2 linked regions of the Neurospora crassa OR74A genome follow. Each later gene encodes a partner of the first gene's protein in a complex. Links are inferred from orthologs where the notes say so. Each region holds a gene or a part of one and is shown on either strand. Other genes may lie near its edges.

Region 1 (4,694 bases):
TCCATCTCTCATCTCTCGTTCGCAGAGTATACATACGTCGTCAACGGCAATCTGCGTCAACCTGAACCCGATACCAAAAGCAACTGCGGGCAGAGCAACAGCCACTTCCAAAATACAACCACTAACGAGCAACGGCCGGAACGAAGAGACGATAACGAGTTACGGGACCACCACGTAAGGATACGATACATACCTGACACAAGGACACGCTCTTACAAATCGAAACGAGCATTCCAATAATCGCACACGAGATTTCCTAACCTACTACACATCACAACTGTCTCAGGAAAGGCAAAACAAGAACAAACAAAACAATGGACTTCGCACCTTACCAAGCCGCACCCCCGGAGCATGGGCGCACCATCTCACCACCCGACTCCACCTCCTCCCCACGCACATCATGGGACTACGGCCGCCGTTCTTCCTACTCCCCCAGCAGCGGAAACAAGTACCAACAGCGCCCAGCGCAAGTATCGCCTCCGCCACTTCTACACCCACAACCACATCGTGCTTGGTCGGGTGAGGGCATCAGCAGGTATCAAAGTCCGAGTGCTACTCCTGGCACCGCCAATGGGATCGGCAGTGGCATTGGGTTCAACAGTAGGAACGGCAGTGGTGGTGGAGGAGGAGGAGGAGGAGTAGGAGGAAGCATGGGCGAATATTTCAATGCGCTGGGCGCTCGAGAGGGGATGGTGTCCGAGTTTGATACGAGCTTGGGACTGAGGCTGGATTATGAGGCGTGTTTGGCGTATTTGGCAGTGCCGCCGCTGGGAGCGATTTTGCTGTTGATTTTGGAGCGGAAGAGTGATTATGTCAGGTGAGTGAAACAAGACCCATCTCTCGGTATGGTCGAGGAGTTAGCGTTGCTGACATGTGGAACTGGGGATTAGGTTCCACGCATGGCAGTCCAGTCTGCTGTTTACGGCATTGTTTGTGCTTCATTTGTTGATTTCTTGGTCGAGTTTCCTTAGCTGGCTGTTATTTCTGGCGGATTTGGCGTTGGTAGGATGGCTGGTTATTAATGCTTATAGGGACGCCGACACGTTAGACAGGTATGTCTTCCGGGATCCAAACGAGTGGACAAAAGCTGACTTGGTTTCCAGATACGAAGTACCGATTTTTGGGCCGATAGCAAGCGGGATCTTGGACGACGAGTAGACGACTGTGGTTATTGGGGCTCAAACGCATCAGGATCAGTCCGGCATCGTGGTTGTCCTGGGAGAGTTGATACTTGACACTTGACGAGAGGTGTGAATACGGCCTTCTCGTACTCTAATGTAATGCGCTGGTATATTTTTAGTCCGATGAGGGATGTATCGAATCAATTCCTGTGTTATCGAGCCGCTTCCCCGTAAGGGACTAGCTCAAGGGTTTTGGTCAACTCCGTTTAAGACTTCATGAACATCGAAATTGAGTGAAGCACAGCAGATGAATGATCGTGCAGTGAAACTCGACTGAATTGAAACCGTGAACCTGGATGGCCGATGCCGCGTGGTTAGTCAGCTGTGGCTGGTTCACTCTGGGGTCAGAGTGGGGTCTAGAGCTGAAGTACTATGTACATACTGTGGGGCGTTAGGTACCCGGCCTTGTTACGTCGCGCTTTTGCCTGCAGCCCAGCTCCTGGTCAACCACCGACAGCACTCGAAGCTCTGTGCCGCATGTCGACCACGCAACTGCCACCATCCACGCAGCACTGCACTACAAGCACGACCGCCGGTCTCCCAACCACAACGCAAACAACGGCGATTTTCATCACTAACCACCACTACTACTCCACGTCGTCGTTTCAAATTCCGTGGAGATTACATACAGAGGATCAGTAACCCGATCTCTGCGCCCTTGCGACTTTCCCTACCGATACCCCACATTCGCACCCGTCTGCGTCAGCCATGTCGACCCTTGAGGAACTCGACGACCTCGATCGCCGTGAGCGCGAGGACAAGAAGAAGGATCAGGACAAGGATAAGAACAACAAGAAAGAGGGAGATGGCGATGCCGAGATGAAGGATGCCGAGCCCGAGGCCGATGACATCCTAGATGAGGAGATCCTGAGTTTGAGCACAGAGGACATCCTGATGCGGAAGCGCCTCCTCGAGAACGATGCCAGAATCATGAAGAGCGAATACCAGCGGTTATCACATGAGAGGGCTACCATGAAGGACAAGATCAAGGAGAACCAAGAAAAGATTGCCAACAACCGGTAAACATTCCCCCTACACTCCCCTAAGGTTTGCCTTCAGTAGCCGCGAAACCTCCCCTACTAACGCTGGCCTCATCAGACAACTTCCGTATCTCGTAGGAAATGTCGTTGAACTTTTGGACCTTGACCCGACCGCCGAGTCCTCCGAAGAGGGCGCCAACATCGACTTGGATGCCACGCGCGTGGGTAAATCGGCAGTCATCAAGACATCGACCAGACAGACCATCTTTCTCCCTCTCATCGGCTTGGTCGACCCCGAGAAGTTGAAGCCCGGCGATCTCATCGGTGTTAACAAGGATTCGTACCTTATTCTGGATACGTTGCCCGCCGAGTACGACAGCAGAGTCAAGGCTATGGAGGTCGACGAGAAGCCTCAGGAGAAGTACACAGATGTCGGTGGTCTCGACAAACAGATTGACGAACTTGTCGAGGCTATTGTGTGGCCTATGAAGGAAGCCGAACGGTTTAAGAAGATCGGTATCAAGGCGCCCAAGGGTATGTCTTCACCAAGATGGAGCAGAAACTCGCTGCTGTGGTATTGCTGCTAACTTCAGGAATAGGAGCTTTGATGTACGGACCTCCCGGAACAGGCAAGACTTTACTTGCCAGAGCTTGCGCCGCTCAGACAGATGCCACATTCCTCAAGCTTGCTGGCCCCCAGCTAGTGCAGATGTTTATCGGAGACGGTGCCAAGCTCGTAAGGGACTGCTTCGCCCTAGCAAAAGAGAAGGCCCCGTCAATTATCTTCATCGACGAGTTGGATGCCGTCGGTACCAAGCGTTTCGACAGCGAGAAGTCCGGCGATCGTGAAGTCCAGCGAACCATGTTGGAGCTCCTCAACCAGCTCGACGGTTTCGCTTCTGACGACCGTATCAAGGTTCTCGCCGCGACGAACCGTATCGACGTCCTCGACCCCGCTTTGCTTCGTTCCGGTCGTCTTGACCGCAAGATCGAGTTCCCTCTTCCGAACGAGGAGGCACGCGCACAGATTCTCAAGATTCATTCCAGGAAGATGAAGGTCAACCCCGGCGTTAACTGGGGCGAGTTGGCGCGCAGCACGGATGAGTTTGGCGGTGCCATGCTGAAGGCTGTGTGTGTCGAGGCTGGCATGATTGCCCTCCGTATGGGCAAGAATCAGATTGGACACGAACACTACGTTGACGCTATTTCTGAGGTGCAGGCCAAGAAGAAGGAAGTGAGTATTTTCCCCAAGACAACCAATGCTTGTGTGCTGCTTACTGACCACGCGTTCAGACCGTCAACTTCTACGCTTAATGTTATTGCATTTCCTACCGTACTGAAAGCGACGACCGAACTACGGCAAACAGCAAGGTCATGGACGGTTCATAGAAATTTGGCATGCAATAGAGCTAGCGTTGGGTTGGGCATGTCTTGTATCATAATGAAGCGTTTTACCCCGATGACTTGCCATGCCATCCAAATTCTCGATAACCCAGAGGCTTGATGACTCTGATGAACAATGTTTGCTGGCCTTCTTGTTAACTTACTGTTACGTTGCCTACCCGATACTCTCATTCTAGAGGGTGAAACGGTTTCCAGTCCGCCGGTTTCGCTGCCCCGATATTGTCCTGGTAAAACTGAAATGTTAAGTATAGCATCAAACAGATTTCACGGGTTTCCGTATGTGGTCCGTTGACAATGTGACCACCTGTTGTTTGATTTTGATCATTCTTCAATATCATCTTGCATTTCGTCCTTGAGTTGCTACACCAGTGGTTTGCTGCTTCTACGACGACTCATTTATTGATTTTCGAGCGGGTCTTCCATAGTGTGGATTTACTTACCTTTTTTTCGTGGCTCAAGATGTGAACTGTACAAAGTACAACCGATTGCAACTCGCTCCTGATGATCCAAAGCTTGGTCCTCAAAACTAAACCGATCAAGACCTGCAGCTTGAATGAAGATCCAGGTGTCGGTCGTCTGCCAGAAAGATCTCTCATGGTTCAAACACTGACTTCGAATTTTCACCATATTTTTCAGAATTCCGCATGATTCTGGCATCCGCGTTAGAGCACCATCCCTCATAGTTGGTATCCGACAAACCCGAAGTACTCCGTTAGAACAACACAACCACTCTTCCTCTTCGCTACCGCCAATACGTAGCATATCAAATATTGGAACGACCAAAACAGAATATCACTATAGGACGCCAGGGGGGTTCTGTGAAAACGACCCTCGAAATGCTCTAGTAACCTTAACTTTTGTCAATTGTGAAGGATTGTGGTTCAACGATGCTCGAGCGAACATCTGCCTCGCTGAGGAGTTCAGTGCAAGATGTGCCCTGGCATGCATCAATATCAGTCCATCCCGTTATTCCTGCCGAGTACAGACATCTTTTGAGACACTTGACAGTTCCCTGCACAGGTGACTGCAGAGCATAACGTGGCATCTCGATATCGGATGATCTCTCAAACGGCCCTGAATTCTGCAAGCGTTGAAAGGTGAACCGAGATGAGTGGTGACTGAAACGGTG
Region 2 (4,282 bases), on another chromosome or scaffold:
AGGAGCGGTTACCATTCTGAGTACCCCTGAGGGTGAGCGGGAGGAAATGTTTACGAAACTCGCTGGGCCGTTGAAGGTGTTTGCGGAGCTGGGTTAGACTCGATGAATTGGTGAGAGACAGAGGGTGAGGGGGGGTTCTATGGCGAGCAGAGCTGGTCTGCGGCCAGAGGCTGTGGAAGAAAGGGAAGACGTGAAACAAAAGCAAGATAACTTCATCATTTTGGGCCCAAGCGTGCGTTAGGGTTAGAAGAACACGATATCCAACATATCTAGGGTGTCGTCTTGGTGTCAAGGTTAAAATGGGTTGGAGTTTTGTGGCTGTTATATTAGCTCAACGGATGCATACCTTACGGCGGGATTAGAAAGTAGACTTTTCAACGCGAAGCATTGCAAGTGGAGAGAAAGAAGACGTCAAGCCCTCTCGCTAGATGATTGATCACGGCATAAAATAACCCCATAACTGTCTCGTAATAATCCAAATCCAGCCCAGCCCATAAGCGCTTCATCAGCCAGTGCCCGCCTCTTTCCCGAAACCCATTTGATCATATCCCATAGCTGTCATCCGGCTCAAGTCCCGGCACTTGTACAATCATGGTCTCCCACCATGCGTAAATCGGTTCCGCACCCAACCGTTGTTCGGAAGTCGCTACCTCTTTGTAGTTCTGTGTCATTGTTGTGTGTGTCTCAGACTCTGGACCATTCTGTCGTAGTCGAAATTATTGGTCGGCTAGTCAGAAGTCTTGCTCTTCCTGGAAGAACATGGCGAAGCTGATAATGGTGCCATAGATCAACAGGCCACCGATAACGGACATGATCATGGCCGGGACCGTGATGATGGCCGAGTTTGCGAGAACAACTGGAAGAGCTGTTTGTCGAAGAGGGGAGGAGAGAGATGTCAGCTACCGTACATGCAACACAACACAAACACAGGATACACGCCAGCCACAAGATGGAGGAGTAAACCTACCAAGTCCCATCATGACCAGGAAACCAGTGCAGAAGCGACCCAGATCCAACACCGCAGCGCCCGAGCTCTCAACAAAGTCGTCCGGATTGGCGCAATGGCTGCAGATCCAGTTGGGTATGGGCGCCAACACGTAGGTGGCCACCACCAGCAGCGGGTAGTATGCCTTCCATAGTGCGCATGACAAGATGACGAGGAGGAAGCCCACCGCCAAGACGAAGGAGAGCGCGATGATGGTCTTGAGTCCTGCTGCCATCTCGGGTGGATATGTGAAAGCTTCTGGTTGCGAAGGCGTTCAAGTTTTGGGCACAGTTGAAATCAGGGCGTCGTTTACGCCGGTAACCCGGAGAATCTGCCCAGGTAGAGTCGGAGTGTCGCGGGCCTGCCGGGATCAAAGGTGTTTGTTGCGCAGACGTGGCTAACTGGTAATCGATGGAAATGTAGTGTAAGCGCTGCCTGCTGTTTTTTGTGATCGAGAACCTGACAAACTATCGCGTGGGTTACTCGGCTTGCGCGCTTCGTCGATTCGTTGCTGTAGCAGGCGACAACTCGTGATGGTGGTGATGCAGTGTGCTTCCAGGTTGTGGTGGAGAGTTGCCCGTGTCGTTGGAGGAGCTCCAGCGAGCGGGAACAAGTGACGACTGCCCGCACTGACGCTTTGGCTGTCGTCAGTCAGCCTCTTCCTGGCTCTCGCTCAGCGCATTCCGTTCCATACCTACCTCTACCTATGTAGCGCGCACCTGGCCGCCCGCACTTACACTACAAGTCCTATAAGGTGAGTACAAGCAAAAGTGGGTCTGACTTTCTTTTGGCGGGCAAGGGAGGTACCTGCAGCGACGTACCAGTTGCCTGCCCGCCCGCGCGTTGCCTGTTCCCGCCCTCCGTCACCCAACATCCATCCTCATTGCCTGGGCGGCGGGACCTGACGAAGCTAGGAGCTGCCTGCGCAACTGCCCGCGGGAGGAAGCAACCACTGTCCACTGACCTCCCCCCATCCATCCCACCCAGACTACCTCTACACCACCACCATCGTCACTATCAGCACAAACAACAATCTTTCGCGTCCTCCAAACACCCGCCAGAAGAAACCGACGAGATACTTGCCGGCAAAAATCCCCGATACCCCCGCCGCAATCTGCTCTTGTTTCCCAGTCTCCTCGATAGAGGTGTCCAGCAGCCATGTTCAGGAACAACTACGACAACGACTCGGTCACATTGTAAGCGAAGCTGTCCCGCAGCCGCCAGCTAGACTGGGGGCCCTGCTTCCAAACGCCCAAAGCTCTGCACTTGACGAGGTCTGCCCTCGACATTCAGCTAACAACTGCTTTCCCTCCAGCTCTCCGCAAGGGCGAATTTTCCAGGTCGAATATGCGGCGGAAGCAGTAAAGCAGGGTTCGGTGGTGGTGGGAATTGCTAGCAAGACACACGCCGTCCTGGTAGCGATCAAGGTACTTCGCCCCGACCACCCCTCGCGCACCACCCTGCCGATACATGTATCCTCCCATCCATCCTAGGGCCAAGTGAAGCTGACCATGTTCCTGTCACTTTGTCCAGCGTAACGCCGAAGAACTCTCATCGTACCAAAAGAAGCTCTTTCCCATCGACGAACATGTCGGCATCGCCATCGCCGGCCTCACCTCGGACGCGCGCGTCCTCTCCAACTTCATGAAGCAGCAGTCCCTCGGCCACCGCCTCACGTACGGCCGCAACATGCCCGTGCGGACCCTTGTCGACATGATCGGATCCAAGGCGCAGATCAACACGCAACACTACGGTAAGCGGCCCTACGGTGTCGGTCTCCTGGTCGCCGGCGTTGACGACCACGGCCCGCACCTTTTCGAGTTCCAGCCCAGCGGCATGACCGAGGAGATGGTGGCCTTTGCCATTGGCGCCCGCAGCCAGATGGCGCGCACATATTTGGAGAAGAACCTAGAGGCCTTTGCCGACTGCGGCCGCGAGGAGCTGATTCGTCATGGTCTCAAGGCGCTCAAGGAGAGCCTGGTGCAAGACCGCGAGTTGACCATCGACAATACCAGCGTCGCCATTGTGGGTGTCGAGAAGCAGGAGGACGGCACGACCAAGCCGCAGCCATTCATGGTGTACGATGGACAAGACGTCAGCGCATGGATAGAGAGTGTGGCGGATAACCAAGAGGCTGCCCCGGCAGCTGCCGAGGGCGAGGGTATGGATGTCGATAGCTAAAGGTTGAAAATGTGGGGTTTGCTTTGAGGCATAGGTGCAGATTTAGCACATGGAGCGCATACACCCGGAATGAAGTAATGAGATGAACAAGTCCCCTTTATGTTAATGCATTGTTTTGTGTCTACTGACATCATGACGCGAATCCCACCGATCAAGCAAACTGGTACACTAAGAGCTTTAGAATGATGGCCCAGCCTGAGAAACAGGACCCCTGAACGCCGTCGTCCATCCAGAAAGAAGCTGCGCGATGCAAGGTAACAGCAACTGCTTTCCCAAGCAGGAAAGGGAAACCTCAAGCAAACGATCTTCCCTCGTCTCCTACCCCCCATGCCTACTCATCACTCCAGTTCAGCTTGAAAACCGCCTCGGACACCTTATACTCCCTCAGCGCCTTGATTGCATCCTCCGGGTTCTTCGCCTCCACCATGATCTTTCCATTCGCCTGGTTCACAAATCCCTCTTGGATGCTGTTCTGGATCCAGTGCAGAATACCGTCATAAAAGCCGTTGATGTTGAGCAGGACGATGCCCTTGTCGTGGATGCCCAGCTGGTTCCACGTCACCGTCTCGAACAGCTCCTCCATGGTGCCGTAGCCGCCACTCAGGGCGATGAAGCCCGATCCGGGGCCGCCCGCTAACACCTCCTGCGCCATCATCATCTTGCGCGTGTGCATGTCCTTGACGATGGTCGTTCGGCCAAAGACGTTCTCATCAGGGACGGGAAGCTTCTTGGCCTTTGCCTCCTCGTCGGCAGCGGAATCCTTCTGGCCGCCGCTCACCTGGGTGGACGTGTAGTGAGGGTCGCGCTCGTACCGGACCAGAGCCTCGGGGATGATGCCGTGGACGGAGTCAGGGCCGGACAGGGAAACAAGGGTCTTGGCGATTTCGCCCATGAGACCGACTGTGCCACCACCGTAGACTGTGACTTTGCTGTTAGTGAGGAGTTCCAGTAGTAGTAGTAGCAGTAGTAGTGTTTGGGTAGGAGAAGTAAGTCAGTACCGAGGTCAATGTTGTTGGCGGCCATGCTACGGGCGAGCTGGCGCGCGGCTTCGAGGTAGATGGGGTTGTTGCCGGCGGATGCGCCGCAGTAGACGCAGATCTTGGTCCGCTTGGGGCT

Evidence for each region. Proteins that work in one complex are often made in the same cells at the same time.
Region 2: the proteins of rpt-5 (region 1) and pca-6 are in contact, whole or in part, in a cryo-EM structure (PDB 6EF2), measured with the Saccharomyces cerevisiae proteins. The link is inferred for Neurospora crassa OR74A from reciprocal best matches to the Saccharomyces cerevisiae genes RPT5 and PRE5. Residues at the interface, in NP_014760.3 of Saccharomyces cerevisiae: Asp373, Asn375, Glu378, Asp384, Asn405, His412, Glu413, Glu417, Ser427, Ser429, Val430, Phe432, Tyr433, Ala434; in NP_014045.1 of Saccharomyces cerevisiae: Arg18, Gln31, Gly32, Ser33, Arg51, Gln60, Lys62, Leu74, Ala75, Gly76, Leu77, Ala78, Arg164, Gln166, Thr170, Arg202.

What each region holds. Positions count from the first base shown.
Region 1 is NC_026504.1:3,450,051-3,454,744, reverse strand, and holds rpt-5 (regulatory particle, ATPase-like-5 protein), read left to right. Parts: upstream 1-1,586; 5' UTR 1,587-1,889; coding exon 1,890-2,200; intron 2,201-2,279; coding exon 2,280-2,695; intron 2,696-2,760; coding exon 2,761-3,395; intron 3,396-3,454; coding exon 3,455-3,475; 3' UTR 3,476-3,952; downstream 3,953-4,694. Other genes in the region: NCU04413 (UPF0132 domain-containing protein), read left to right, coding at 315-817, 891-1,052, 1,104-1,158. UniProt on the Saccharomyces cerevisiae protein: The 26S proteasome is involved in the ATP-dependent degradation of ubiquitinated proteins. The regulatory (or ATPase) complex confers ATP dependency and substrate specificity to the 26S complex.
Region 2 is NC_026505.1:4,357,691-4,361,972, reverse strand, and holds pca-6 (proteasome component PRE5), read left to right. Parts: upstream 1-1,670; 5' UTR 1,671-2,143; coding exon 2,144-2,181; intron 2,182-2,300; coding exon 2,301-2,412; intron 2,413-2,518; coding exon 2,519-3,166; 3' UTR 3,167-3,337; downstream 3,338-4,282. Other genes in the region: NCU06714 (para-aminobenzoic acid synthetase), read left to right, coding at 1-97; NCU06713 (vacuolar protein sorting protein 55), read right to left, coding at 732-865, 968-1,220; NCU06711 (hypothetical protein), read right to left, coding at 3,498-4,084, 4,165-4,282. UniProt on the Saccharomyces cerevisiae protein: The proteasome degrades poly-ubiquitinated proteins in the cytoplasm and in the nucleus. It is essential for the regulated turnover of proteins and for the removal of misfolded proteins.